2 linked regions of the Caenorhabditis elegans genome follow. The protein of the gene in region 1 purifies or fractionates together with the protein of each later gene. This does not show direct contact. Each region holds a gene or a part of one and is shown on either strand. Other genes may lie near its edges. The genes, in order: T26G10.1 and Y37E11B.5.

Evidence for each region.
Region 2: the proteins of T26G10.1 (region 1) and Y37E11B.5 fractionate together in Caenorhabditis elegans (co-fractionation; one large-scale study listed by BioGRID). This does not show direct contact.

Annotation. Positions count from the first base shown.
Region 1 is NC_003281.10:9,399,879-9,414,502, reverse strand, and holds T26G10.1 (Putative ATP-dependent RNA helicase T26G10.1), read left to right. Parts: upstream 1-7,861; 5' UTR 7,862-7,862; coding exon 7,863-7,938; intron 7,939-7,985; coding exon 7,986-8,866; intron 8,867-8,927; coding exon 8,928-9,177; intron 9,178-9,637; coding exon 9,638-9,900; 3' UTR 9,901-10,019; downstream 10,020-14,624. Other genes in the region: T26G10.3 (Small ribosomal subunit protein eS24), read left to right, coding at 1,063-1,194, 1,241-1,384; nlp-48 (Neuropeptide-Like Protein), read left to right, coding at 13,436-13,519, 13,692-13,780, 13,825-13,858; rgr-1 (Mediator of RNA polymerase II transcription subunit 14), read right to left, coding at 10,144-10,367, 10,414-10,769, 11,179-11,246, 11,303-11,422, 14,168-14,278, 14,322-14,386. UniProt on the Caenorhabditis elegans protein: Probable ATP-dependent RNA helicase which may be involved in ribosome biogenesis.
Region 2 is NC_003282.8:3,593,459-3,610,453, reverse strand, and holds Y37E11B.5 (tRNA-dihydrouridine(47) synthase [NAD(P)(+)]), read left to right. Parts: upstream 1-11,901; 5' UTR 11,902-11,907; coding exon 11,908-11,976; intron 11,977-12,024; coding exon 12,025-12,101; intron 12,102-12,270; coding exon 12,271-12,354; intron 12,355-12,994; coding exon 12,995-13,523; intron 13,524-13,995; coding exon 13,996-14,278; intron 14,279-14,947; coding exon 14,948-15,275; intron 15,276-15,898; coding exon 15,899-16,193; 3' UTR 16,194-16,495; downstream 16,496-16,995. Other genes in the region: ltah-1.2 (Peptidase M1 leukotriene A4 hydrolase/aminopeptidase C-terminal domain-containing protein), read left to right, coding at 213-772, 824-928, 978-1,119; kgb-2 (Stress-activated protein kinase JNK), read right to left, coding at 1,443-1,450, 1,831-1,932, 1,979-2,239, 2,308-2,473, 2,527-2,611, 2,979-3,094, 3,136-3,265, 3,485-3,576 and 1 more; Y37E11B.10 (BRCT domain-containing protein), read left to right, coding at 4,812-4,832, 4,883-5,049, 5,104-5,210, 5,254-5,486, 5,538-6,058, 6,245-6,494, 6,549-6,671, 6,719-6,874; Y37E11B.7 (Neuropeptide-Like Protein), read left to right, coding at 10,418-10,457, 10,512-10,669, 10,728-10,847; Y37E11B.6 (Zf-AD domain-containing protein), read left to right, coding at 11,215-11,335, 11,387-11,532, 11,594-11,737; taf-2 (Transcription initiation factor TFIID subunit 2), read left to right, coding at 16,855-16,995.

The sequences.
Region 1 (14,624 bases):
CCTGTAAATAATTTAGATTGCAGGGTTTATTGCAATTTTAGGGAAATTTTCGCTGATTTAACTTCGAGAATTATTGAATTATTTATTTAAAGTAGAGGCTGAGCGAAGTTTTAGAAGAAATAGAAGAATAATTTAGATTTTAGGGTTTATAGGTCACTTTGTATTTAATTTGGAGAATTACTTAGTACTGTCGAAACATGATTTAAAAAAGAGGCTAACTGAAGTGCTTTTTTTTAATTTGCAAGCTTTTTGGTGCGGCATGTGTCGATTTACGAAGGAATTGTACTACACGCGGACAAGTGTGAATTCATTTTTTGCATGTATAATAACAACTAAAGAGCCAAAATGGACGAATTTTACGACTGAGACGCAAAAATTGTCCGAGTTGTACTCATATTTTGCCAATTTTGATTTTTTAAAATCAAGTCTGTAGAGTTTTCCTAATTTTCAGAACGATTTTATAATGCAAATTTTGAATTCCTAAAAATAGGGAACAAATGAAGGGGGGCAAAACTAATTTTCGATGAGTGATTTTAGATGAAAAACTAATGGAGGCGCAAAACTAATAGAGGAAATACGATATTTTCTTTACTCACGAGCATGAGCCAATGAAAGAGCCCAAAGAAGATATGAAGCTGTATGTGACACACATCCAAGAACAAATTCGATTGTGTGACTAGCCTGGTAGACCATCAAATCCCCCATCTCAAGTGGCCCATCACCATGTCCATGTCCGTGACCTCCACTTGGTTTTAGATTCTATTCTGGTGCACGAACACTCTGAATTCAAAAATATTAGACTATAAAGTTGGTGTTGATTCAATAATATTGGAAAAAGTGCAGAATAAAACTAATAGAATCATGCAAAAACTACCCATCACCAATTGTTTACCTGATGTTGATGTGACTCTGCTGTCAAAGTGCTATATCTCGATTGTTGCTTGTCTCGGCGATACAGAAAATATGGTTTCCCAAACAACATAATCGGAACCTGCACCAACGCCAACACCACAAGTATTATTTCGATTGTTGCCTGGAACATTTGTGCTGCATGTGAAGTACATGGTAGCTGAAGTGATCCTCCCAGGACGCCCAACTACCCTAAAGGCGGATATCCGTGAGAAGATCGCCAATTTTTATAATATCAATCCAGACACAATGGCAAAGAATACGCCGTTGTCACAAGATGATAAGGTAGATTTAACCAGTTAATTTCTCTATTTGAATTTGTTTCTTACAGGTTGCCAAGACTGTGGAGCAGCGGAGAAAGGATGCAGCCGCTCACAAAGAAGCATATAATGCTATGCCGGAAGCCGAGAGGAGGCATCTCAACTCTGAGAAGTATGCCAATCGGAAAGCTGAAGTGAGTTATAAACACAGGTGATTCGCAGTGTAAGCAAAATGCTTCGACGCACACAATGCTCGTGTTTGCGAAAATGTGCGCCACAGTGGCAAGCATAAAGGGCACAATGCGAACGCTCGCAATGTGCGCATTTTGTTTGGCCGTTATTCCCATCATTAAAGTGCTCATTTCGGTTAGTTTAAAGCTATTTTTGTTTGAGTTCTCTGTTTATTGACTGTTTTTTTGCTGATACTAACGTTTTTGAAAAACAAAACTTTTGATTTAGAAGGAACTTGTCAGATTTTGAAAATCATAAGGGTCCCCCTTATGATATAAAATTTTTGATGAAATTTTTTTGTTTTGAAAATTTTTTCGAAAACATGTTGAACGTGTAGAAAATGATCAGTTTGATATTTTTCACAAGTGTGAGAGTTCACAATGAATGTTCAGCCAAGAAATCATGAAAAGTCTAGAGTTGGGTCATTGAAACATCGTATGTTTGAGAGCTCCTAACTTCCTTGAGACTTAAAATACACAACTTTTTTCAACTGATAAGTTGTCAGAAATGAACTGAACAACAAGTTATTAGTTGACCATATTTTTCTATCTTGCATGTTCGAGAAGATGGGCACAGTTGAATTAGAGCAAAACAGCACTGACTTCGACAAGCCCTATTTTGGCACATTAAACATATAGGAAACATTTTTTATTTTTAAAACATTTTCCATAACTAGCTAAACAAATTTGTAGTTGATCGTTTTTTGATATCTTGTATGCCCAAGGATGCTCACAGCTTCAAAAACCTATACTATTTTTTGAACCCTACAATAAATAGTCATTTTCTCAGCTAAAAACGTTTTATCTAACGTTTAAATTGACACAAATAGAGTAAATATCATTTACTACTGTATCTGATGATTTAAAAGCAAGTTTTCAAAAAAAAAATTTTTTTTTGGATTTTTGAAATTCAAAAGGGTCCCCCCTTATGATCCGCTTTGAAAATCATAAGGGTCTCCCTTTATGAAATTTTTTTTTCGTGGAAACTTTTTTTTTCAAAAAAATTTTGATTGTGTTTAATTTTGTGCAAAAACATTATTTCAGCATGTTTCACAGTTTTAACCGCTCAATAACGTTCTTGTAGCAAAAAATATCGAAATCTTCCTGGATTTTTCAAATGAACACCTTACTTGTAACACAGTTTTTCTCCGTTGGCAGCAGGAATACAAAAAAGTCGTCAACTTGAAAGTTGTTTACAATGAAATGAATAACAAATTTTTAATTGACATTTTTTTCCTATCTCGCATTGCTTCAAAGTTATAGTCCTCTCGTTTTGAGCCCAATATTACTGATTTTCAGTGATCATATCTAAATAATGAACAAAGATAAAACGTTTATGTTTTATAATTGTAATAGATCATTTCAAGCTTAATAATTAGGTAATTGATCGCTTTTTAATATCTTTCTATCCTGAAAAGATGTACATCTCAGACGAAATTATGTATGTGGTTGAAGAGTTCAAGAAATGGAGGTTTTTCTCGTTGGAAACGCCTAGTTTGACGTTGAAATTTACATAAATAATCACTTTTGTACTTTTCTCAATATTTCAAAGTTGTTACAACTTTTTCAAAAAAAAAATTTTCCGAGAATTTTGAATTTTTTTTTGCAAAAATTGAAAAAAAATCCAAAGGTCCCCCCTTATGAAAATTTTCAAAAATTTTTACGAAATTTTTTTTTGAAAACTTTTCAAAATACGATCAGATCTTTTAGAAAAATGCGATGTCGGTTGTTTTTTTTCAGTTTGAACGTTCAGAACACGATTTCAGACGAACACCTGAGGCTTAGTAGAACCTCTAAGTTCAAAAAAGGCAATCACTTCGAATGCTTATATCTCCGTGGAAAAAATTATTATGACAAAGTGATTAACTACAAAGTTGTTTATCTTGAGTTAAAGTACAACTTTGTATTTAATTGTTTTTTATCAAAAAATTCGGTGGTTGAGATATACAGAGAGAAATGGAAAGAAAATACAAGAATGAAGTTGCGGCACTTCTCACAACTTTATCTCAACCACCAATTTTTTTGATAAAAAATGATCAACTACAAAGTTGTATTTTTAATTAAAATAAACAACTTTGTAGTTGATCACTTTGCCATAAAAATTTTTTCCACGAAGATATAAGCATCCAAAGTGAATGCGATTTTTGAACATAAGAGGGAGGTTCTACTATACCTCCGGTTTTTGTCTAAGCTTGTGTGCTGAACATCCAAACTCAAAAAAACAACAAACATTGCAATTTTCTAAAACATCTAATAAAAATTTGAGAAGTTTTCAAAAAAAAAATTTCGAAAAAATTTTTGTAAATTTTCATAAGGGGGGACCCTTTGGATTTTTTTTTCAAGAAAATCCAAAAAATTTTTTTTCAAAAGTTGTCAAATATTTATCAGATATTGTAAAAATATGTTTCCCTAATTGTATATATGTACTTTCTTGCTGAATGTGGTGCTTTCAAAAACTAAGAAACTGTAAAAACCTCTATCCCTCTAACTGATCTACCTACTATGCCAGTTTTTCGAAGTCATGTCTCACATCGGGCAAGCAAGACATCAAAAAATTATTAACTACACACTTGTTCAGGTTGTTATGGAACATGTTTCATGTTTAACAGTTTCTCGCTTTGTGTGCAGAGTACGGAGATATCATCAGGCAAAATTAGTGATATTTTACTCATAATTAGGTGCTCCTATCTGCTCAACCATCGGAGATAACAAAAAGTTACAATAAGTCATTTGTCAATCACTTCATTCCTAACAACTTTCTAGTTGACATTTTTTCATATTTCAGCTGCCTGAGGAGCTAGAACATTTTGGAAGTACTGACTTTCAATAAACAAGCCAAATTGACTGTTGAATTTTTTTGCCCAGGAGTATGATTGAGCCATGAAAACTGTGGAAAATACTAAAATTTACATTTTCTACAGAATCCAGCAGTATTGAAATTTTTTGGAATACAAATTTTTTTCCATAATTTTTCATAAGGGGGAACCCTTATCAAAATTTTAAAATTAGTGGAAAATATTTTTAATTAAATTTTAATTGAACTCAATTTTTTTTCAATTATTTGTTGGTTTCAATCACAAATCACATTTACGACTCAAAGTGATTTTTTTTCTTTTCTACGACTTTAAATATAAGAGCGAGAAAGCATTTCAAAAGAAGCTCCAAACGCAGAAGGCAACGACACTCCGAAATAACGGTTGCGCGCCCTCTTAACCGTAAATCCTCCTCATTTTCGAAATTATTTTTTCACAATTTCTTTTTCTTTTTCTTCGATTTTTCATATTTTTCTTCAGCAATTCTTTGATTTTTTTGGCAAAAATAATTATTTTCCGTAAATATACTCGTGTTTCAGCATTTCCGACGTTGATGCGTCGATTCGTCCGACCTGTAATCCTGTTCCCACACTGTATTGTCTCCACCGCGGGGAGCTTTTACCAGTGGCTGCAAAGCACCATCAGACGACAAAGGACAAGACGGTATTAACAATTTCAACATAACAGCAAGAATTATGTATATTTTGCAGGTGAATACAAAGGATTGGAGGACATGGAATTGGCTTGGGAACCGGAAGTACCGGCGGTAGCGGTGGCCATCCGACTGCTCGCTTCCATGCTGCAATTGAAGACCGACAATCGGAAATTGGTGCTCAATTTGTCCACGTAATCAGTTTTTTAACCCATAATTTTAACATCGAATTTTTCAGAATCAACAGGACACTCCCATCCAAACTCCAGAGATGACGATGAGGAGCAGGCGACTTGCTCATCTTCAAACTCTTCAGCTATGGAGCCCCAATTGGATGAATCGGAGAGCCGCCGAGAATGGACGATGTCATTGATAAACGTGGAAGCCGGTTGGTTTAAAAAATATTCGAATAGTTCCAACTACTATTTTTCAGAGAAACTCCAAAATCAGCTCGCCGTAATCGTCTTCGTCAAGTAGCCGCGAAAGTTGCACCGAAATCGTCTCTAATTCATCATAATCATCACACTGGAGCTTAATTATTTTTTATTTTATTCCCAATTTTCTCCCTCCCCCCCCCCCCCCACATTGTAGCTAGCTTTTTGTTGTTCTCCCATTTTTTTTTTTGATTTTTGAACTAGTTTGATGTCTTGTTGTGTCATAAATATTATTTGTTAAGCAGTCTTTTAGTTTTAATTGAGAAAAGTATGAAGAGCGGAAGCGCGGATGCCGGAATGCGGGGTTGAAAAAAAAAGGAAGCATAAATTGTTTTCCTTTATGCTCGCGTTCGTTCGCAAAGACGAGCATTGTTCTCCATTTTTGCTCATGTTTTCAAGTACCCATTCGAAGCACGCGCGAACTTCGGATGAAGCATAAAACTCGTACTCGCGAATCACCTGTGAATGCATTCGATTTGTGTTCAAAAACTAAATGTGTCATTTATTCAGGCCGCCAATGCAAGAAGACGCGCTCGAAGAGCCGAGAAGAGAGATCAGCAAAAACATCAGCAGCTGTTGTTGTTGCTGATCTCTCTTCTCGGCTCTTCGAGCGCGCCTTCTTTATTCGGCTCTTCGAGCGCGTCTTCTTTATTCAGGCCGCCAATGCGGCCGACAATTTCCGAGTTTCGCCACTCACAGCGCCTCAAATCGGGAGAGAACAACGAAAAAAGTGGTTTTGGCGCGGGAGCGCGTTTGCTGCAGACGTCGCACGAATTGGAATTAATGTATAGCAAAACAGTAAAATATCGCGTTTTCTCTGCATTTTAGGGACTTTAAAGCAATTTTCAACAAGCGGGCCGGCCCAGAGACTGTTTGCGATGCGATTTACTTCATTTTAACATAAATTTTTCTCCAAATAAGCTCGAAATGAGCTCTGAATTTCGACGAATCTGAAAATTTTTTTTGACGAAAAACAGAATTTTGCAAATAAAAATTGATTTTAGAGCAATTTATTGCATAAATATTTGCCTTTAGATGTTTTATGAATAGTTTGAATCTTTTTAAAGAGTTTTAGTCATTAATTTGACTGATAACACAGAAAAATGATTTTTCTTTACAACAAAATCGATAAAAAAGTAAAGCAACATTTATCAAGAAAAATCTTGCAAAATTGATTAAAAAACTTTTATGAAATCAAACATTTCAATAGAATAAAGTTACAAATCAATCAAAATCACTAAAAATACGAATAGTTCTGATCAAATTTCAATGTTCCAATCTACCAAGTGATCTATGACACGCCAAATTTCTTATGTAAGTGTTGCTCTCCAATTTTCCTTAAAAAAATGGCTCAAATACTTACATAAATGATCAAATTAACATTTTTTACAAGTTTCGTGTTGTATTTTCATTTCCTTAATAAGGAACCATCAGGTTCTTCCTACCCTCTACGACTCTAGATACCTCAACTTCGACAACTCCTATCTACTCGGAGAGACGAGATATCAAAAAGTGATCAACTAAAAACTTGTAGAGCACATCAAAAACTATGATATTCAATTTAACCTACGTTTTTATCTTTCAAGATGGGGGAGTTAGACTTACATTTGTATTGCATACTTTTTGTTATTCTACTGGCTGCTCTAACTCCCTCATCTTAAAAGATAAACACATGATTTTAATTAATTATTATAGTTTTTGATATGTTCTACAATTTCTTAGTTAATCACTTTTTGATATCTTGCCTCTCTGAGGAGATAGGAGTTGTCGAAGTTACAGTATCTATAGCTATGCGCATATGAAGAACCATATGGATTCTCATCATGCTATACTACTTATCATCTGCTTTTTGTGGGAAACAATGATTCAAAAATGTTTTTTCAAATGATAAAACAAGTTTTGATTTGATCTGAACATTTAGTGTTGGTTTAGTGAAGATCAACTGCAAACTAAACAGTTTCCGTTGATTTGGGCATTTTTGAGCAATTTCAAGACTTGAAACCGTGTTATTTCTATCAAGCTGACGTTTAAAAATTGGAATCAAACATATTAATGCTTGAAAAAATTTGTTTCGCGTAGAAATTTTGTCATAGAGTTAACTTGTTCTAATCGGTTCGAAAATCAATGATAAATCAACCAAATCTTGAATTTGTTCAATAAAATGTTTTTAAAAACTGTTTTAAAGCAATAATAATTCCAATATTTAACTATTTTTTCCAAATTTCATCTTGAAAACTCGAATAATCGCGAAATTTCGTCTGAAATTTATTTAATACCGTAAAAGTGTGCAAGCGCGCTCCGTTGGACTTTCCAATTCTCGATTTTCACAACTCTCCCGATTTGAGGCGCTGTGCGGTGGTTGTTTTTCAGCCTGAAGTGAAAGTGTCGTCAGATTGCGTGCATCTCGTAAATCTACACGAAGTGTTTGCACAAACATCAGAAACTACGACATAATGCAGAGTTCGAATTTTTACTCTTATATTTTAATTCTATTTTTTTAAACGTTTTTTCTTTGCTTCCGTTAATTCTTTTTGCACATATTGATAATTTTTTTTTATTTCAGAATGTCAGACTCTTCATCTTCTGACGGAGAAGATAATCAAAAGTTTCTCGGGAACCGAAAGAAAAACCTAACTAAAAGTAAGTATTCTCAATTTTAACTGAAATAACTGGTTAATTGTCTTCAGAGAAAGTAGTTACGGAAGAAATTGAAAAGGACGATGAAGAAGATGTGAAAGAGAAATCATTTGCCGAACTTGGTGTCTCCCAGCCGCTATGTGATGCTTGTCAGCGACTCGGATGGATGAAACCGTCAAAAATTCAACAAGCTGCTCTTCCACACGCACTACAAGGAAAAGATGTAATTGGTCTCGCAGAAACAGGATCAGGAAAGACTGGCGCATTTGCAATTCCCGTCTTACAATCACTTCTCGATCATCCTCAAGCTTTCTTCTGTTTAGTATTGACTCCAACAAGAGAACTTGCATTCCAAATTGGCCAACAATTTGAAGCTCTGGGCTCAGGAATTGGATTAATTGCTGCGGTTATCGTCGGTGGTGTGGATATGGCTGCACAAGCGATGGCTCTTGCAAGAAGACCTCACATTATCGTTGCAACTCCAGGACGCCTGGTTGATCATTTAGAGAATACCAAAGGATTCAATTTGAAAGCATTGAAATTCTTAATTATGGATGAAGCCGATCGTATTCTCAATATGGATTTTGAGGTGGAGCTGGATAAGATTCTTAAAGTAATTCCTCGTGAACGTCGAACCTACTTGTTCTCAGCCACAATGACCAAGAAAGTTTCAAAGTTGGAACGAGCATCGTTGCGAGACCCGGCCCGTGTTTCTGTTTCTAGTCGCTACAAAACTGTCGATAATCTGAAACAACACTACATCTTCGTCCCAAATAAGTACAAGGAAACATATCTTGTGTATCTGCTAAACGAACATGCCGGAAATAGTGCAATTGTCTTCTGTGCCACATGTGCTACAACCATGCAGATTGCTGTGATGCTTCGTCAACTTGGAATGCAGGCTGTCCCTCTTCATGGACAAATGAGTCAGGTATGTGTTGAGCAAATGTGGCACATTAATTTATAATTTTTTTCATCAAAAAATTGTTCAGGAAAAACGTCTCGGATCACTGAACAAATTCAAAAGCAAAGCTCGTGAGATCCTTGTGTGCACCGATGTGGCAGCTCGTGGATTGGATATTCCACACGTCGACATGGTCATCAATTATGATATGCCATCTCAATCGAAAGATTACGTTCATCGTGTTGGAAGAACTGCTCGTGCTGGAAGAAGTGGTATTGCAATTACAGTTGTTACACAATATGACGTCGAAGCCTATCAGAAGATTGAAGCAAATTTAGGTTAGATTTTGAATTTTCCGACTTGTTAAAATCGCGCTACGAAGTCATCATTTTATTTTCGAATTATTTCACATATTTTAGCTAGATTTCTTGTTTTCGGACAATTTTGCGAAATTTTTCCAGTTAACATCCAAAATGACCAATTTAATTATACTTATTATAGAGAATTTGTTTCCTTTTGTAAATGTTACATGCAAAAAGAATTAGAAAGAATAGTCCAAAAACAAGAATTATTGTCAAAATCAATAAGATCATGCAAACAATAAATTCACACTTCTCCGTGTGTAGTACAATTTCTTCGTAAATCGACATAAATCAAGCCGCACCGAAAGCTTGCAAAATTTCTTCTAAAACTTCGCTCAGCCTCTACTTTAAATAAATAATTCAATAATTCTCGAAGTTAAATCAGCGAAAATTTCCCTAAAATTGCAATAAGCCCTGCAATTTAAATTATTTACAGGAAAAAAGCTGGATGAGTACAAATGCGTCGAAAATGAGGTTATGGTTTTAGTAGAACGAACACAGGAAGCAACAGAAAACGCGAGAATTGAAATGAAAGAAATGGACGAAAAGAAGAAATCTGGAAAGAAGCGACGACAAAATGATGATTTCGGAGACACTGAGGAGAGTGGTGGAAGATTTAAGATGGGAATCAAAAGTATGGGAGGTCGAGGTGGCAGTGGTGGTGGACGAGGTGGAAAAAAGAAGAAAATGAGTAAATGATTTGCTCATTTATTGTTATTTCGGCTTTTCTGTTGATTTTGTTGTCCAGTTGTTATTCTTGTTATGTTTTGATTTAAACTGAGTTTTATTACAAAAATAAATAAAAAGTATGAAATGAGAAAATAAGTTAACTTTAAGTAATACGAGGAAAGAAAATGGAGATATTCGATATTCATCTCCGGTAAAAAAAAAGAGTCAGAATAACCCGAGTGTTGTGTGTAATTTACAGAATTTCAGTGTCAATTATTGAGGTGGATATTGCTGATGGTGGAGAGGATGATGATATGATTGGCCAACTGATGGTGGATTCCATTGTGGATATCCTACACTTCCAGGATTCACACTTCCTGGTCCACCAACGCTTCCAGGTCCGACGCTTCCCGGATTCATCATGTGCTGTTGATGGCTTCCAGGACCTCCTACACTGCCAGGTTGTCCGACGCTTGATGGATTCATTTGCATTGATTCTGGAAGTTAAAGTACTGAAATATGGATCTTGGAGGAACAACTCACGTGGACCACCCATTGGTTGCCGATGCATCCCATATTGAAGAGCATTTACAGATTGAGGACCCATCATTGAACCTGGTTGCAGAACTGATCCAGGTTGTTGTATTGAAACTGATCCGGGCGCGGCCACCGAGCTCGGTCCAGCTACTGATCCAGGGTTAACGTATGTCGGCGGAGCAACACTCGAAATGATAGGTTCATCTCGGTTTCCAGGATTCCAGTCGCCCGAGTTGAATCGATCCATAACGAGACGCACCAGATTCCAAATTGGATTTCCCCCAGAAGTCTTTGTTTCAGCGTTTACTTCATCTGCCATTTGTTTGTTCTTTTCATTAGCTGATGGAACAACCACAAAGTTTCTGAAATTTGATTTAATTAAAAATGGGAGGTCCTTTGAAAAAGTAAATTTATTGAATGGTGATTTTGCGTTAAAATATCCAAAATAATCTGAAATTCAGAAATACCACAAAGCAACAAAAAGAAAATCGAGAAAGCTCTCTCTGTCTGAACAAAATGAGAACTGCAATATCAATCAGCGATTCGCTCCGCCCATTCTTCAACCAATCAGACGGTGTAAGTAGGCGGGGCAGATCGCTGATTGGTCTTTCCGTTTTCAGTTTGGAACGAATTCAAAAGTGGAAATTTGGAAAAATTGAAAATTCTCTTTAGAAGTTGGATTATTATTCATTTTCGATTTTTCCCCCTGCTATTTTGGTAATTTTGAAGCAAAATTCACTCGCAGCTCCACTTTAAAGTACAAGAACTTACTCTTTAATTCTATAGATAAATCGAAGAACACTAAATGATTCTGAAGTACGACTTTGACTGACGATAACCTGAAAATTTGAATTTTTTGAAGAGAGCCAGGCAAGAAAATAACAGTCTTCCATACATTGAAAATAATATTCTGCAATGGTTGATCCACTTTCGTCGCCGGCGCCAGCTTCTTGGTCGATGTGTTGTTATAAGTGAGAGATAGTTGAACACAGCATTTCGACGTGGGTGGATGCTCCTGAAACTTTTAAAAGATAAATACTTCCGTTTGTTGACTTTAAATATTCAGTATTTGATCTCTTAATGGACATGAACTTATCCATAAGATTCGTGATTTCCGCTTCTGGGGGTGTATCCGAAAAGGGAAATTACGTTTTCCTAGTAAAATGTGCAAAGCTTTTATATTCATCCTTGTAAAGTCGAAGTCTTTCTAACTAAAAGGACGCTATAATAAACTCAAAATGGACCAAAAAAATATCAAGACTTTTCCAAAACAAAAAAATTAACCCACATTTTATTCAATCACTGTTTCAATTTCGCAATTTCATCAACAACACACATTACCATTATTAGGAATTTCAAATTTTTTTTGAAAAGTCTTGTTAAAAACATTTTCTTTTAGGGTCGTTTTGAGTAGAATACATTTTTTGTACGAAAATCTCAAATAATCACTTTCACTATCCAGACTGACGTATTTCATTCACACATCCCCGAAAGACGAGATTTTGTGCTTTGAACACTAACTCCTACACCTTTCTTTTGCATTCTTGTAGCATTCTGCTTCCGATATTCACGTCACACATGACTTGGTTGACTCACATTGTTCCCGAGATCTTGAAAGTGTGAAACAAGAATTCATCACTTTTGTTTTCCTGATAATCCAAAAAAACAAGTTCATTGTTTTTATCTAGCGCTTCTCAAATTATAATTCTGACTGGCGGTGCTCTTTTATTATGAAAATTTTTTTTGCAATAAGTTCTTTGGTGCACCATGTTCACATATTCTATAAAATTTCAAGAATTAAAAACCCAGAGGGGGTCCTTAAAATATTTTTAGCGTTTTGCTCAAAACACTTCGTTTATTCTTGGCTGTCCCCCTCTTGGTCTTATGATCATCCACTTTTTTTTTTCGAAAAAAAAATACACGTCATAGTAAGGTCTTCAGGAGGACCTCCCGATTTAGACCTACCACTCCTCCAATCGTGTGACTAGATTTTCAATATTTATTATATATTCTACGGATGAATAGAGAATTTTGTGACATCTGCACGGGCTCTCAGATTTATATTCAGTTGCAAAAAGAAAGTTCAATACACGGTTAATTGGGTTTTATTATTTCTTATTTTCATCCTTGTGACGTTTGGATTTCGTTTTTTTTTTCAAATATTTTTTTTCGATTCTCGGTTTCTCAAAATTCTGCAGAACTTCTCGTCTTGACCAAATAATTCTCAAAAAAGCTGGTTCTAATTATTTCGTGACGTGACTTATATCGCGAAATTTTCACATCGAAGAAGAAGAAAAATATCAAAATTATATTATTCGAAAACAAGTGGTTTTGTGGAATTTTGTGAATCATATTATGAATAAGCTCAAAATTGTTTCAGATTTTGGTAAATTGCTTAATTTCCAAACAATGTGGACTTTCAAAAAATTACGAGAATTCCATATTGAGTGTTAATATCTCTAAAATGATAGTACAAAAAGTTTAAACTAAATTTAAATTTGAAAAAAAAATCGCCGAAAAGAAACGTTTTTTTCAGTTGACTCACTTGAGTCAGTTGAGTCCAACCAATTTTGCTACAATTTTACGCGAATTTTTAGTTTTCAGAAACTTTCGTATAACTATGCAGGTATATTACCAGTTAATTAGACTAATTTGTGTGGTTTTTTTTCAATTCCAAAAATGTGGACGATACTTTAATATTAAAATCCACGAGTCTGCTTTTTAGTCATTTTACAATTTCGAAAAAAAAAATCGGCGCCATTGTTATTGAAGGAAGCATTTTGCATTTCCGGCTCAATTCTCAAGTCACAGGGACCCACTCATTTTGTAGTCTACGGCGAAAAAAGGAATTTCTATTTGGTATTGGTGTATAGTATTCGTCTTCTTCTTCAATTCGCATCCATCCGTGAACACCCTCCTCCCGAAAAATCCCGCCCCTATTATTTCATGATTTCTACTAGTTTTCTCTTGTTGTGTCAATTCGAGAATATTTTATTATTTTAATTTATTTTCTGGTTTCCTTCAGAAAATGATGTCGTCGAGAAGGATTGTCTACACACTTTTGCTCATCACCATCGCACTTTGTGCATATTCCACGGCTTATGCACCAAGGGTTAGTTTCTTTTCTTTTTTCGAATATTTAAACAAATGATGTTTGGCGCCGCGTATTCTCTGTATGTTTCAAAAAGGACCGTAGGGGAACTTGATGTAATTGTTGATAGAATCAAAGAAGAACTTGAGGAGGTACTTCAAAGTTTTACAAAAACATTCCGGGAAAATTTCAGAACATCCGTGGAGTTGGAGACGTTCCTTCAATGTTCTTCTCGCCGTTCAGAATGATGGGAAAACGCAACCAATTCTATGGACTATTCAAGTAAGATACAAAGATAACGTCACAAAATAATGATAAATTTTCAGAAAAATCCGAAGCAATGAGGTAGTTGATTACTAAACTTCGAATTTACATTTTCTTTTTTCTATTCTCACCACTAATTTATTGTCACACTCAATTCACATTCTCGCTCTCTTTTCTATTGTTTTTTCGAATAAATCGTGAAATTTGTTATCCTACTTATGACAGCAGAGCTATCAGGGATGTGAAATTAAAATTTAATTTGCGTTTTTTTGTTGAACAATTAAGCGAAAAACATTTTTTGTTTTTATCATTTTTTGTTCAATTCATGTTTTTGGAGAAAAATGGCGAACAATTATTTTTTCGAAATTTTCCGGATTCAGCCCTGGGGCCTATGTAAGAACTTACCATTTGAACATTCATTAGATTTGCGATGCTTTGAGTGGCTTCGAATGATGTCAAACGGGTCAAACAGATGTACGATTGAAGTGCATATTCGTCGCCGCAAGGGAATACAACCTAAATAAAAAGTACTTGAACATCTTCAGATTTTAATTGATACCTTCTCAAAGTATGTAGTCAATGTTTTGAGGTTATCCGCAGTTGCTGCGCTGTTCGTTCCTTCTTCTGAAAATATTAATATTGAATAAGTAAATATCGCACTTTTTGTGGGGATATTAATATTCTAAACTCTCGTTTTTAAAGATTAATGCATAATAATTATTATTTCCTTTCCTGTACCGGAATTAATTTAGAAAAATATGAATATTATTAACTAAACGCGAAACTTTACAATTTTCGCTCCAAAAATACGGTACCTGGTTGCGAACAGGGCAACCAATATTCTTAAATTCAGAAGGCGTGC
Region 2 (16,995 bases), on another chromosome or scaffold:
GATAGCTCTGTAACCTTATGGGAAGGCCAGTAACACCTCTCTTCCTAAAAAATAAACTTTGAAAGGCATGTTCCAAGCTGATAAGACCAGCATTTTTTGTATTTTGCTTCTCCGAATCACCCCATCATTTCACACCGTATTTCGAACCGCATAGATAAGAAGCTTATCACACCAAGTCAGGCTTCCTTGAAGACAAAGTTCGAATCTTACAGGTCTATGAGCAATTCACGCCTACTCACCAGTTCACAAAGCTCATTCAAGACCATACAAACGTCGATCCAGACGTTGCATTCTCGTGTGTTCCCTATGAAAAAGGATCAGCACTGCTCTTCTACCTTGAGCAGAAGCTCGGAGGAAGTGAGATCTTTGAGGCTTACCTTAAAGATTATCTCAAGACGTTCGCACATCAGGCGATTGATAGTTGGCAGTGGAAGGATCATTTGTATAAGTACTTTGCGGATCAGAAAGAGGTTCTTGATACAGTAAACTTTGATTTATGGTTCAATGGAGTTGGTATGCCACCAGAGAAGCCTAACTATGGGCAGTCGATGGTTGAAGCTTGTGAGGTCCTTCTGAAGAAGTGGCTTGCCGCCGATGAAAGCACTGTTGGGGACATTACGTCTGAAGATTATTATGCTATGCAGCCCCTTCAACAGATTGAGCTGCTATCCCAGCTGTGGCAGCACGACCCTCCAATTGAGCACTACAAATTGGATGCTTTGAACAAGCTGTACAAGTTGAACGATTCGCAGAACTCTGAGCTATTGTTGAAGTGAGTTTCAGCCTGCTGGACATCTAAATTCAATGAGCTAATCATTTTCAGCTGGCTCCGATTGTGCATCAAATCCAAATGGGAAGAGTGTATCCCGAAGGCGCTGGACTTTGTCAACTCTCAAGGCCGCCTCAAGTTCTGCAGGCCGATTTACAGGTAAGGACAAGCTCAAAAGCATCAAAAATTTTCACTTCTATAATTCCAGAGACCTCGCTCAATGGCCGATTGCCAACAAAAAAGCCCGTGACGTCTACCTCAAGGGACGTAGCCAAATGCATCCGATCACCGCCGAAATGATCGCCAAGGACCTTCACATTCGTCACTCGACTCACACAGTTTGCTTCTAAGCTTTCCCTGATTTTATTTTGTACATTCCCACCACCCACGTACTTGTGAGCTTGTAGGTCTTTCCCCTTTTCCCCTGATTTTCGTTAAATTGTGGTTAAATAAACTTGTTTTTTTTTAAGTTTATTAGAAACAGATTTTTGCAGCTAAACAGAAGAAACATAATTTTTTTGAGAAAGCAAAGATTTCTTATTCATTGAAAATGTCGTGATCGGTTTGATAGCCTTGCACTTCGTTGAAAATGAGCCGTTTCCATTCAATAAGAGTCCAATCGTCAATGTCATTAACCTCATCGTCCGGAATTTCTGATGCGGGGGCGTTTACTTCATCGTCCTGTAAAATTATTAAATGTAAAATCATTAGCAAACCTTCTTGTCATTATTTTTTGAATCTGTTGTCTTTTTGGGGCGATTTTCGGGCAGTTTTTCATGGTTTTTTTTTGCCGCTCTTTGAGATGTCTCATTTTGCGTTTTTTGTTATTTTCTTTTTCTGAATTCTTGATTTTTTTTTACTTATTTTTCTCTCTTTCTCCTCATTCCTTCTCGTCCTAAGCCTAATCCTAAGCCTAATCCTAAGCCTAAGCCTAATCCTAAGCCTAAGCCTAATCCTAATCCTAAGTTTAAGCCTAAGCCTAATCCTGAGCCAAAGCCTGAGCCTATGCCTAAGCCTAAGCCTTTAAATAAGTTTACTGACAAAGCGTTAAAATTTCGTACCTTGAACCATAGTATATGGATGATTAAGTGCATCTTCAACTGAATACCGTTCTTCAGGATTGATTTTCAACATATTGAACAGGAGATCACGAGCCATGTGTACTGAAAGTATCATTTCTTCTTCAAAATTCTGTATAGCCCGACTCACGTGTCAAATGATCCTTCGGGTTCTCAGTCTCCGGCAGAAAATTGGAATCCGGAACTATTTCATTGAAAGCACGTGCTAGATGTTGTGGCAACGATCGAACATACACAGCGCCTATTGGTTCTAATTGATTAATGAAATGATCGTCTGGTGTTCTTAATACACTAGAAATTTGTGTCCATTGATCACGTATATCTTTGCCCGGGAAAAGAACGGTATGGTTGATCATTTCAGCAAGTATACATCCGACTGACCAAATGTCTACTGAAATTATGAATTTAGAGTTTTAGAGTTACTGTACATATAATTTGTGTTAGTCCAAAATTACAAACCTTTTTCCGAATAGTTCAGACCCAAAATAACCTCGGGGGCTCTGTAGTATCTTGTCCCCACATAATCTGACATTCTCATGTCCACGTTGCGTCTTCTTGCCAATCCGAAGTCTAAGACTTTTAACACACAACGTTCGTTCACGACAATATTCGATGGTTTTAAGTCCTAAAATTTTGAAATTTTGAGAATGTTGTCTATAGTGGTGTACATAGACGTACACGATGAATGAATCCCAAATTGTGAAGGTGCTTGATTGCGCACAAACTCTGGTAGACCAAGAATGATAATGTTTCATGATCCAATCTGATAATGCATATAGTTATTTTTCAATTGCCGATATTCAATTGATTGTCAATTGACGAAAAGTTAGAGCATTGTCAGTGGGGATTTAGTTTAAATATGTTTATAGTCTCCAACCTTCAATCTCCAACTCAGCCAACTCAACCAACCAGCTCAACCAACAACAAATCTCAACCAACAAAATCCAAATCCAATCTCCAACTCTCCAACCCCGTCAATTTTTTTTTGCTATTTTTTCTAACTTTTGTCTTTTTTGAGAAAAAATAATATTTTACGTATATTAGTCTTGGACCTGGGAATTTATTAACAAGTCCATCATATACATTTTAAAGTACGCCTAATCATAAAAATCAGCCATCATGCCTCTTACCTTAATCGATGTATCACCTCGTGTAGATTGTGTGTCATAAATTCCATAACCAGATATACCTCTTGAAACGATGAAAGTGAAGTATCCGGTGTGAAAGCGTTTAGCAGACGGATTATCTGAAATTTTTAGCATTTCCTAGATTTCAAATAATTCTTACATTTGGGTGTTTCAGAGTCGTTAGCAGTATAAATTCTCGATATGCTCGCCTTGCACTCATTGTCAACAGAAATGGTTGTTGCATCTTCTTGATTGCTACGCGTTGTGTTGTCACTAGGTCATCGGCCATTCTAAATGTAAGCAAAAAAAATGAAACACTCACTTCAAATTTGATCCATTCTAGTTTCTACTGTTAACCGCGAACACGGAGTTCTGGATTCCCTCATATTTTGAAATGTAAGATTTTGCGGCCATTTGGGCTCGTCGACGGCCGTGTCCACTTACGTTGGGTGGCGCGCCGTGGCTCAGTGATGTTCTATGATATAAACATAAACATAGCTTAAACTCACACGACAATCCCCTGAGCGCCGACATTCAAAAATTTAAGGTTGACATAACGGGTTGGAATAGTGAAAGTAATGCCCGCGCCGGCTATCGGGTCCTGAAAACGAGTTTCAATTATGATATAATATATGAATACAAACCGTAATAGTAACTTGATGAAATTTGGAAGGTAAATTCATCTTGTTGCGTCTGTAAAATCATTAGTATCAGGGAGAAAAATAATATTATTGTACTCGGCATTTACATATATATTTGCATGTTAAATATAAACGCGTTGACGGTAATTTAGAATTCAAAAAGCGTAATTAGACAAAAAAAATGTGCCTTTGAAAAAGAGAGACTCTAACTAACTAGTAAGATTGTTGTAAAATGATTGTTGAATGAAGATTGAAAAGTATGATTTCCAATTTGAAACTACAGAAAAAATCTATAAATATTTCATAATAGTTTGCTTATCATTAAAAAATGTTTTCAATTTTCCTCAAGCAGGAACTGATAAAAATTGTTTAGTTGCATGAAAACTGACAACTCATTTCAACCCACATAGAAATTAATAATTCTATAAGACGGAGAATGAAAAATGATATTAAAGGTACGCGCCAGTGAGGATTTTATTTAAATACACTTATCCAAAACAACCAAATATCATAATAAAACACTAAAAAAAAATGTTAGATGTTTCATAATTTTCGGTCAAAGTTTTGGCAGATTGCCAAATTTTTGAAAAATATGAGCTTTTGAGGAAATCCAACGCAATGTCGCATGTTGCGACCCCTACAATGTTTTAATACAAATAATTAAAACAAAATTAAAATATAAAAAATGTAGGAAAACAATTTTTTGGTCTACTTCCAAAATTATGAGTGGCAAAAACTGAGTAATTGCCACTTTTTGACGGGAAATAAAGTTACTGTATGTTTTCATTTAACCCATAATTATGAAAAAAACGTTTTTTTTAAACAAACTTTTTTCAGAATAGTAGACCAAAAATAACCTCGGGGACTCTGTAAAAAATCCGAAATTTCAAATTTTTTGAACACACAACTATTGTTCACGACATGAAGTTTAATAGTAAGTGTTTTTATATTTTTAAACAAAAACATTTTACGTGAACATTTTCTTTCTAAAAAAAAATTTTTTTTAACATAAGTAAATTTGTTTTAAAAAATATTTTGAAAATAAAGAAAATGTTTCCCGTGAACTTTTTTCCCAACAAGATACTTTTAAAAAAGTATAAACAAAAAAATCAGAAGTGTCAAAAAATCAATAAAATTGATTCATTTTGCAAGATCAACTTGTAGCAATCTCGACGTTTCCATCAGGATAACAATTATGAGCAAGTCGTCTAAATCGGTAAGTACGGTTGCTTCAGATCACATTGCAGAAGCCAATGATCCTTCCAGCAAAGCCAATCGAAAGCTTCATCAAGTGACGGAGCTGTGTGCCCGCCAACGGCTTGCTCCACCAGTCTCCTCACCGCCGAACAGCTCACCGATCCTCCACAAATCCCGACGGCCTTGTCCAACTCGGTCAACACTGCGATTGGTGGAACTCCATCCGACTTTGAGTCGTAAGTAACTTCCTAGAAGAATGCTGTGAACTAACAAAACTAAATTGATTTCAGGAACTCCGGGCTATCTGACACCTCGGCAGGATCGGGCCGCGCCAACTCGGCCGTTTCCGAGACGACCACAGCAATGTCGGCGACGTCTCCGGAGATTATTATGAATGGTAAGACGATGCATGTGTGCTCTAATGCAGAGAACCTTTACAGATCTTCGAAAAGGAAGCCTGTTTGGCCGACAGAAAGGGAGTCTGGCTACCACGGATGGAGGGCCCCAGAGTGTTACTATCATTACTTTCTCGAACAATGTGAGTACGGCGGCTGTGGCCAGCAGTTTCGAATTTTTCCAGACTAACATGTCAACTGCTTCCCAGCCCACCAGCCTCGATGACAAATCCCAAAAGTCGCAGAAAACTGGATCAATGAAGACTGGAATTCCGATGGTAGGCATTCGCTTTCTACAAATTTCTTGTCTATAACTAGATTTCTTTCAGAGATCGCCTGGATCTTCCATGGCTGGCAAAGGTGCGATGTCTCGTAAAAAGTCGCCGAAAAAGCAGATGGATGCTCTGAAGAAAGAGCAAGTGCCGGCTGCTCCGGATTTCTCAAAAAAATCCAAAAAATCTAAGAAATCGAAGAAGTCGAAAAAGGCCAGAGTTGCGAGAAAACCCAGAATGCCCAAGAGTTCTGTAGATTCTACCAGCTCTTCAGACGAATCAGGAAAATCGGCAAAATCTGCGAAATCTACAAAAATGGCCAAGAAATTGGTTTGTCCGGCTCCTCCTATGAATGCGGACTTCTCGAAAAAGTCGACAAAATCTGGAAAATCTGCGAAAATCGCGAAGAAAGTTGCTGCTCCGGTGGCTCCAGCAGTGGATGGAGACTTTTCCAAAAAGTCGAAAAAATCAGTGGCCAAAAAGTCCGAGGCACCGCCGGCTTTTGGACAATCTGGAGTTGTGAAGAAGGGGGACAAGCAAAAGCAGAACGATAGTGTATACTTCCCAGGTGTCAATAAGTGAGTTACTTTGAATATAGCCGGAGTAGGGGTCCCAGCTGAGTGAGGCGTGAGTGACGCCATGAGGCCGGCGCGGCGACCGCTGAGGCCGGCGCAGGCGCGGATGCGGCGACCTCAAGGGAGCCTTAAGCCGGAGAATATTGGAACTACCCTATCAATGTAGCATCTATAATTCTAAAATTTCAGCCCTTCTACTGCCAAGTTCGGAAAATCAGCTAGCTGTAAGCCTGGTCAAGCCTCGACCTACAATTTCCCGGGTGCCGGAAAATGCGCCCGTCGTATGGATGAGGTGGCTCCACCGACTCCAAAATTGAATGCAGGCGACGCAAGCCACTGTGTCTACAATGTTGCTCAACTTCCACCGGCTCAGCGACGCATGCCACCTCCGATTGCTACTGGAGCTCCAAAGTCGCTTTTCGGGACTCGTAAGGCCAAGGTGAGTGACATTAGAATCTAGATTTTGATTAAATATCACTATTTGTGATTTCAGACAGCTCCGAATCCGGTTCCAGCTCCTCATGTCATGAGCAACACTGTTGCTCCGACTGCTCCAAATGCTTCAACCAGAAACAAGATCGTCGTCTTTGGCACCACGCCTGATGGAAAGTCAACGGTAGCTTTGATATACGTTGAAAATTTGGAACTTTTCCAAATTTCCAGATCCAAATGACAATCGACATGAAGGTGGTGGCCGGGGAAATGCTCAAAGGCTCGGATCAGCCGGTGGACTTGGTCCCCAAGAAGGTCGTGGTTGCCGGACAGGAAATCACAGTTGATTCCAAGTCGAAGAACGAAAAAAATGAAATGCCCCTTTGAATGAGTGTGAACCAATAAAAGTGATGCTTCAAAATATGATTTCATTCTCTACATCGTTAAATTTGTTTTTAAATTTTCAGAAATTTCACGTGAAAAAACTCAGAAAAAAATAACAGAAGGTTAAAAAATCGATAAAATTCATTCATTTTGTGGCAAGCTCGAAGTTTCCATAACAAATATGAGCAAGTCGTCTAAATCGGTAAGTACTGGTGCTACAAGTCTGAGCAGAAGCTCAGCACCTTTCAGCAAAGCCAATCAAAAGGTTTATCAAGTACGGGATCTGTATGTACTACAACTGACGGATCCGATTTTGAGTCGTAAGTAACTTTCTAGAAAAATTCTGGGAATTCATGAGAATAAATTGATTTTAGAAATTCCGGGCTTATGAGCACCTCAGCCGGATCAAGCGGAGCCGCTGCCTCCGAGCCGACCACAGCGAAATCGCTGACGTACTCGGAGACTATGAATGGTAGGGCGCTGCAAATTCACTCTACACTGGCAATGTAGTGACAGAAACTATTTAGATCTTCGAAAGGGAAGCCTATTTGGCCGACAGAAAGAGAGCCTGGCGACCACGGATGGGGGACCCCAAGTAAGTGGATCGGCTCGGCAGCTTCAAAAACGTTTTTCAGCCCTCAAGCCTCGATGACAAATCCCAACAGTTCAAGAATCCAATTGAGTCAGATAAACCAGGACCGTCTACGGAACCTGGGAGATCAGCGAAAATTGAGCAGGAAGCTCCGGCTCCGACTTTGAAAAAATCCGAGACACCGCCGGCTTTTGGACTCTCTGGAGTTGTGAAGAAGGTGCCTAGTGTCTATTTCCCAATTTTCAATAAGTGAGTTATTTTGGTTATAACTCTGCCAAAGTTAGTTGGCAACTCTTCGATATCTTGTTTTTCTGACGAGTGCAACTATTATTTGCAACTATTATAACTCCGCAACAAGTGGGGATAGAAACAAGTACTCAAATAACAAAATGTAGACCTTGAAATTTTCTATATTAAATTAATTAACAATTTTCGGCCATGTCATCCGCTAAGGAGTTAATAACGTTTTAAGATTGGGTGTCAAAATTCCAGGCTTCCTCCCAAGCCTCCGGGAAACAGAAGAGGCACCGGCAGTATGAATTCCGTGGCTCCGCCGACTCAGAAAATCAATGCACCTCACATTGTCTACGATGTTGCTCAGCTTTCTCCGGCTCAACGACGCATGCCACCGCCGGCTCCGATTGCTGCAGAAACGACAAAGGCCAATGTGAGTTGATAGATTCGAATTGAATATCACTGTTTGTAATTTCAGAAAGCAGCTTTGGCTCCGGCTCCAGTTCCAGCTCCGCTTCCAGATGCAGCTCCTCAAAGCGCAGACAAAAAGTTCCCGGGTACCGGACAACGCCTCGGCAGTAATGTGGCTCCATTACATTGAAGTCATTGAAGACCACTGCACCGCAGATTGTTAACAATGTTGCTCAGCTTCCACCGCATCGCCGACGCCTGGCGTACTCGGCTCCGAAGTCGCTCTACAGGTATCGCAAGGAGCCAGATGCTTGGGCTCCAGCTCCGATTCCAGGTGCAGCTCCCCAGGTCATCAACATAACTGCAGCTGCTCCGACTGCCCCGACTGCTCCAACTGGCAACAAGATCGTTATCGTTGGCACCACGCCTGATGGGAAGACAACGGTATTAGTTTCGGGAAATTTTCTCTCGAAAGTTCTAATTTTTCCAAATTTCCAGATCCAAATGACGCTCGACTTTAAGATGGTCAAAGGGTCGCAACAGGTCACCCTGGTGCCCAAGAAGGTTGTGGTTGCCGGAAAGACGAAGAACGACAAAAAACCCCTCTGAGTGCGTGTGAACTTGTAATAAAATTACTGCATTAAACTTCGATGATTTCTATCTCTCATTTCCTCCCGTACAGAATCATCTTTCAAAGACCAACGTGTTGATGACGACGGCGACTAGTGGACTGTCCTTCTATGAACCTTATTGTTGGAGTCGAAAATAGTCGGTGGAAGAGAGAGGGTCGAGGAAATCGTATTTTCTGCACTGAAGGTAGATCAGAAGTTCAGAGCTAGAAAAATAGAAAATAAATAGACGTGATGAGGATTTTTAAATAGATAATGTTGTCATGTTCTCGAAAACATCGAAAACATCGAAAATTCCAGTATTTGAGGTCATTAAATTTTCTTGTAGTTTATGTAACCGTATTTTTTTTCCTGTAGAAATCGTGGCGAGACCAACTTACTTAGAAAAACAGAGTATACCTTTAAAGGGAATTGTCAAATTTTACGGAATTGATGGCATATAATTGATGTTAACAAAATCATATTAACTTATTTTTGTTGCAAAAAGCTTCAATTTTAATAGATGTTTGCTTATATACACTCCGACTCAGCCGTGTGTCGATTTACGTAGCTCGTGTACTCCTCGAGGGGAAGGGCTTTAAAATTTTAGCTTGAAACTCCTGGTTTTGTGCCATTTTCGCAGATTTTTTTTCGCAGCTTACGTTTATATTTCTAACAGAAAATCTTATTGTCAGGAAAAACTCTTTGAAACCAAGAATTGCAGTTTTTCTCATTTTCCACTTAAAAATCGGCAAAATTGTATTACGTGAACACCAGACTTTGTGAATGCGTATTGGACACCAAATTTGACTTGCAATATATCTCGTAGCGAGAACTACAGTAACCCTTTTAAAAGACTATTGTAGCGCTGGAGTCGATTTACGGTATCTCGATTTTCGATATGGATACAGCGATATTCAATATTCTTAATTTTTCGTAATGTTTTGTAATTTTTTTATTGTTTTCTTTTGATATTTTTTTCGATTAAAAATTGAGTTCTGTAAATCGACACAAGCACTACAGTAGTAGTTTAAAGAGTTACTGTAGTTTTCGCTATAAGATATTTTGCGCGTCCAATATGATGCGCAATACGCATTGTTAGAATTTTGTGTTCCCGAAATAGTTTCCGGGGCATAAATTTTTGGAATTTTGACACTTTGGCAGTAAATCAGTGTAAAATTGGCGTTTTGCGAAAGGGAAAATCGTTGGATAACACGGTTTTTTCCTCAAAACTCTGCCGAAATTGAAAAATTTTTGTGATTTTCCAGCTTTACAGCAAGAAATTGTGGGTTTTCCAAATTGGCGATTTCACTTATTAATTTTTAAAAACTGTATTTATATCCCTTTTCCTCGGGGAGTACACAATCTGCGTAAATCAACACTAGGCCGTGTTTGAGGCCAAAAATGGCTTCATGAGGCCATTCTTCTATGATTTCTAGTTGAGAACAAAAGAAAATCGTTAAAAAATATTAATTTAGTTTTTTTTATAACGACACTTGTTAATAATTCTCGTTATCTTCGAAGAAATTTTCACTTTCTCTCCCATTAAGATCGCTTATTGGGGGGAGTGTTTACTGTAACTTTTTCTCTTTTTTGTTCGGTCGTTATTTTCCCATCATCTTTTATCATCACCTCCCTCACGTCATAGCCGTATATAAACAAGATTTCGTCAGACCAATTACTTTTTTTTTTGAAAATAAAATGAACATTTTGATATTATTGCTGCTTATGCTCATTGGAGGTAGGATTTTCTTTCTTTCTGGTATTCCCTGAAATTTGAAGTTTTTTATTCCAGAATCCGTTTCTCTGACTATGCTCGGATTGACACGTGGCTCCCGAGTTGGCGCTGCTGACGACGACCCTCCATATTTCCCGGAAGAAGACGATTTCCCGAGAGCTAGAAGCCGCGTGCCGACCTACGAACAAGCTATCGGGACAGTTGCTGGAAAAGCTGTAAGTTGAGAGCTTTCAAAGCTACATAAATTAATTTATAATTTGAAAAAAATTGCAGCTCCCGGCCCGTCGGTGGGAGGAATTGGAGCCAACTCATCGGCAAATTCTTGGGGCTCCGCTGAGAAGACGCCCACTTATTTCCAGAGTTTTGGGTCGTGGTGGTGGACTTCACAACTGAATTTTTGTTAATTTTTGCATGTATTTTACTATAGATCTCGTTTTTCTTGTTGATATGCGCTGGGAATAAATTAATATTTTTCTTGTTCCAGCAGCTTTTCTACATTAAATTTTCGATCGAAAGCCGGAAATAAACGGAAATCGATACTTTTCGAATAAATTTACTGAAAAAAAACTTCAAAAACCAGCTGAAAATGTCTAACAACAAACAATTGTCTCTGATGAATTCTGAAAAAAATCCAATATATAAAATTAATGCAAGCGCGCCCTACCTAACACCGACGAAAGAGTGTGCAAAATGCAGAGACGCAGACATTGCAAACAATATTTAAATTCTGTTTTCCGTCGATTTTCTTCCCAAAACCGCTATGGGCCGCAGCAAAAAAGGAGAAAATAAGAATAATAATGGAAAAAAGAATGTGAAAAACAAGTTGGGCTATGCGCGAGCCGAACATCTCCATCGATGTGCGATTTTTCTGTCAAAACTCGGTAAATTTTCAGTTTTACTCAATTTTCTAATCAATTTTCCCCGATTTTCAGGCTCCAAAAACAACGACGGATTCTCCAAAACGAGCCGGCACGTTTCAAAGCTCTGCCGACAGGTTATGGACACGGAAATGGTGCATTTGGACTGCGAGCAGAAGCAGCAATTTTGCAAAATTTGCCGGGAGGTTCTCGTCGGAAATGTAAGCTTTTCTCATGATTTTTTTTTTAAAATTAATTTCTGTTAATTTATCGATTTTTCAGTACGAAAAAACCGAAATCTCTGTGAAACAACGCGGATCTGTCACCGAGAAGTGCGGAAATTGCCACAAAGAGCGGAATTACATGACGAAAGCCGGATACGGAGAGACGCTCAAGGAAAAGCTGGAAAAGCTGAAAAAACAATAATTAAACTAATTGTTTTAGGTGTTTTACGGGTATTTTATGCAGATAAATTGTTATTTTTTGCTTTAAATTCATTTTTCCCTACTTTTTTCGGTTAGAAATCCGATTTTTTACTTATTTTCCCCCATTTTTCCAGAATTTTCCTCAAAAATTCCCCATTTTTCCAGGGTAAAATGACAGAGCCAATGCCAGATTCTCGGGATATCAACGTAGCGCCCATCAAGGAGCAATACATCCTTCCAGTAAGCGCCGGCTGACTGAAAACGCTGAAATTTAGCTGAAAATTTCAGAAAGAGGACCACGAACTGCCGGCCGAGGTTCAGGCGCTGCCGAAACGGGAACGACGTGGAATGAACAAGACTAGGAGGTGAAAAATCTGAAAATAAAATTTATTTCTTGTGAAAATTTTGAGAATGTGCGTGAAATTGGCTGGAAAACCCCACGAAAAGCCAGTTTTCCGCGCTGTCTCAAATTTTTCAGCTAAAAAAACTAATTTTTAATGAAAAATGTTGGAAAAACCGCCAAAATTTCTGCAGAAAGGACATGAAACACGCGGAAACTCGAATTCGCGCCGCCGCCGTCCGTCTCTGCCCGTCTGTAATTCAACCAGTGGCTTGCAAGTGAGTTTTATCACATTTTAGGGTAAAATTTTATATATATAAAATGTGCTCCAAATCGGAGTTTGATACGTTTAACGCACTTTTCTGAGTCAAAAACCGGCGAAAATGAGCTTTTTCCTAACGAAAACTGCTGAAGTTCACCAGAAAAAGCTAACTTTCAGCAGTTTTTGAATGGAAAAAGCCCTGAAAATACGATTTTCAGCCAAAAAACTTTTTTTTTTTCCAAATTCCAATAAAAAAATGCATTAAAATTCGATTTTCACCGAGAAAGTCAAGTTTAAGTCGAAAAACAGCTGTTTCAATCCCGAAATTGAAATTTTAAATGCAAAAAATTCAGTCAAAAAACCGCATTTTTACGCCAAAAAGCGTAGATTTTCGTATATAAATTATTTTAAAACTTCAAAATTTTTATAAAAAATCGCTGATTTTCAGTGTAAAATTCGTCAAAATATCAGAAAATTTTAAAATTTAAGCATAAAAATGGACTTTCAGCAGTTTTTGAATCGAAAATCACCAAAAATAGCTAACTTTTAACCGAAATATCGAAATTTTAGTTTAAAAAAATCAAAATTTCCATAGAAAAATCTATTCTTTTTTATCTTTTCCAAATTTCCGCCTAAAAATCAATGTTTTCTTCCAGATTCGGCGAAAAATGCAACTGTGAGCACGACATTTCGGCGTTTCTTGCCAAAAAACCTGCTGACATCGGCGTAGCGTGTCCCCTCTACGATGCTCGCGGAGCATGTCCATTCAGCTATGCTTGTCGTTTCGGCGGAGCTCATCTCGACGAAGCCGGTCAGCAATCTGAAAAATCACCGGAGAAGCCGTACGAGCCCACCACAAATTGTCATTCGATGAAAATTCAAGTGGCTCTGCGCAAGCGAGAATATGATTTTGAAAAGACGGAAAAAGCACTGGAAGCGATTAAAAATGAGAATTTCGAGGTTCTCGAGCTGAGCCTGAGCACTGTCGGAGCCATGTGTCGGGAGAAGAAGCCGCTCAATATGGGCTCACTTGATGGGAAAAAGTATCTGGCTCCGTTGACCACTGTGGGAAATCTCCCGTTTCGAAGAATTTGCGTTGATTATGGAGCTGATATCACGTGTGGAGAAATGGCTCTGGCTACTAGTATACTGTCGGGCACTGCGTCGGAGTATAGTCTGCTTAAGGTAGAAATTGGGCGATTTTTGAGATGAAAACAAAGTTTTACTGCAAAAAATGAGCCTGAAAACCTCTGAAAATGGGATTTTATTTTTTCGAATGGTCAACATATACATATCGATAATTTCAGAGATTTTTGAAATTTTTTTTAGCTAAAAATGAAGTAAAAAAGCTAAAAATTTGAAAAATTTGAAAAAAAGTAGTTTTCGATATTTTTTTTTGCAAAAAATCAAAAATTATCCACTTTTTCCTAAAAATAAATACCTATAAATTTACGAAAAATTTGGAGTTTTTTGAACATTTTCAGTGAAAATCTAAAATTTTCGCCAAAATTAAAAAATTTCTGAAGAAATTTGAATACCCGCCAAAATTTTTCTAAAATTATCGAAAAATTCGCTAATTTTTCCTGAAAAATACCTAGAAGCTATCGAAAAATTTCCAGATTTTTAAAATTTTTTTACTCAAAATTTGAATTTCCAGCGTCACCCGTGCGAGAAGATCTTCGGTGTTCAACTGGCCGGTGGATTCGCTGATACAATGGCAAAAGCTTCACAAATCGTCGTTGAAAACTTCGACGTTGACTTCATCGACATCAATATGGGCTGCCCAATTGATGTTGTTAATCAAAAAGGAGGTGGTTGTGCTCTTCCGAGCCGTCCTCAGAAGCTCTTTGAAGTGCTCGCCGCCACGAAAAGTGTCCTTGGCGGGTGCTGTCCGTTGACGGTGAAAATTCGAACTGGAATGAAGGAAGGAGTGCTCAAAGGTGCAGATTTGGAGCTGAAAATCTTTAAAAAAATCTGCCCAAAAAAATCACATTTCTCTAAAAAAAAATCTAAAAAATTCAATTTTTGTATACAATTAACTGAAAATTTGTATTTTCCGTTAAAAATTAACCGAAAATGGGCTAAATTTCGAATTTTCTGCCAGAATTGGCAAAAAAATTCAATAATATTGAAGTTTTCGATTTTTTGATAATTTTAAAATTATAAAAAATTCAAAATTCTCGCCAAAATTTTTTTCTTCAAATTTCTCTTTAATTTACCTGAAATTTTGAATTTCTCGCCTCAAATAGACTGAAAAACCATATTTTCCGCAATAAGAATTGACTGAAATTCGGAATTTCTCTCTGAAAGTTGACGGAAAGTCTGAAATTGAAAAAAAACACCTATTTTCAGCTAAAAATAAAAAATTTACCTAAAAACTAAAATTTTCAAGTCAAGATTCGTATAAACATCGAATTTCTAGTCAAAAATTAAAAAAAAAATTGAAATAAAGAAAAACTTTCAATTTCAATTTTTTCATGCAAAAATTTCAGAAAAAAATCGATTTTTCAACCGAAAAATGTCAAAAAAAATTCAATTTTCCCGTCTCAAAATTACCTAAAAATTCGATTTTCCCACTGAAAAATGTCGAAAATTCACATTTTTTTCAGCGCCCGAATACGTGGAGCACATGAAAAAGCACTCATGGCATACACCTGACCTCATCACATTCCACCCACGGAGCAAAGAGCAACGATACACACGGCTCGCCAATTGGGATTTCACATTTCCAGTTCAAGAAGCTACAAAACCTGTTCCCTTATGGGTTTGTGGAGATATTCTGAGCTGGGAAGACTATTACGAGCGGCTGGAGCAATATCCAGTTAATGGAATTATGATTGGACGTGGAGCACTCATTAAACCATGGATTTTCACTGAAATTGATGAGAGACGGACTTGGGATATTAGTTCAACTGAGAGATTTGATTTACTCAAAAAGTATGGAAATTTGGAGATTTTTGAACTTGAAATTCGAAAAAATGGCTTAAAATTGACCAGAAATCTATAAAAATTGGAAAATAAAATGCAGAAATTGGAGACTTCCGGAGATTTCTAGCTGAAAATTCGAGAAAATGACTGGAAAATAAGCCTAAAACATAAGAAAAATTGGAAAAAATCTATAATTTGCAATTAAACTCCTGAAAATTCATGAAAATTCGGTAGAACTGCCCTTTTTAGCTGAAAATTCCAAAAAAAAAGTGGCCCGAAAATCACGATGTTTCTGAATTTTTTAAACGTTAAGTTCGTAAAATTTCACACAAAATTTCTAGTTTTTAAATCGCAAAATTTGCAACAGAAAAACTTTTAAAAATCAGAAGTTTCCGAATTTTGACGTTTATTTCCGCGAAAAAATCTCAATTTTCGATCGATTTTCCCGCTCAAAAATGGGTTTTTCAATCGATAAAATCAGTAAAAACTATTTTCTTTTCAGATTTTAAGAAATTTTTCTCATTTTTATTAGAATTTTAGTAAAAGAAAAGTCAATTTTCATCGAATTTTCGGTTTAAAAAAACCAATTTTATCAGATTTTCTTCAAATTTTCTAAAAAAAAAAATTTCCAGATTCGTCGACTACGGTCTCGACCACTGGGGATCCGATGATGCAGGCGTCGAACGTACCCGTCGATTCCTTCTCGAGTTTCTATCATTCCAGTGCCGCTACATCCCTGTCGGAATCCTTGAACGACTTCCCCAACGGATCAACGATCGCCCACCAAGATTCTGCGGTCGAAATGAGCTTGAAACGTTGCTCTCCTCACAAAAAGCCGACGATTGGATCGAAATTTCGACTCGGCTGCTGGGACCGACGCCGGAAGGATTTCAGTTTATTCCGAAGCACAAGGCTAGCTCGTATTAAAATAAAATTTGGAGAATATTCATGAAAATTGGCGTTTTTTGATCAAAACTCCGAATAGAAAATGCCGTTTTTCTACCAAAAATATATGAAAATGCTATTTTTTTAATGAATTTTTTTGTATTTTCGGTCGAAAAATTTTGATATCTGCTCATTTGTTGAGAATTTCTGCTCGAAAAATGTCAAAAAAATGTCGAAAATTTCGCAAAAATCCAATTTTTCACCATTTTTTCTAGTTTTTGTTCTGTTTCGTTCCTGTTTTTAATATTTTGTTAGTTTTTTTTTCTTATAAAATTGTTGATTTTACCCATTTTTTTCCACAAAATTTTGTTTTTTCTATCGGTTTTCTCACCGTTTTCATATTTTAATCCATTTTTTCACAATATTTCAGATATTTCGCCTTTTTTTAAAGTGTTTTCCTCTGAAAATTAGTGCAATTTTGACTGTTTTTTTTATTGAAAAAAAATCAAATTTTTGGACCTAAAAACGTAAATCATGTATTTCTCACCAAAAAATCTAATTTTCAAAGGAAAACTTATGAAATACTGGTTTTTAACTATGATATTCCTAATTTTTCACTTGAAAATCGTAAAATTTCTCCATTTTCAGTCAATTTTTTCCCCAGAAATTTCTCTTCTTTTTTTTTTCAGATTTTCACCTAAAAATGGATTTTTCGGAAGCTTCAACGTCAGGCGATCGAGTCAACGGGTTTGCCAAACCATTTCCACCAAAACCACGAGAAGGAGCTCCACCACCGGCTCCCCCACTTGCTCCAGGAGCATCAACTTCTCAAGCTCCACCACCA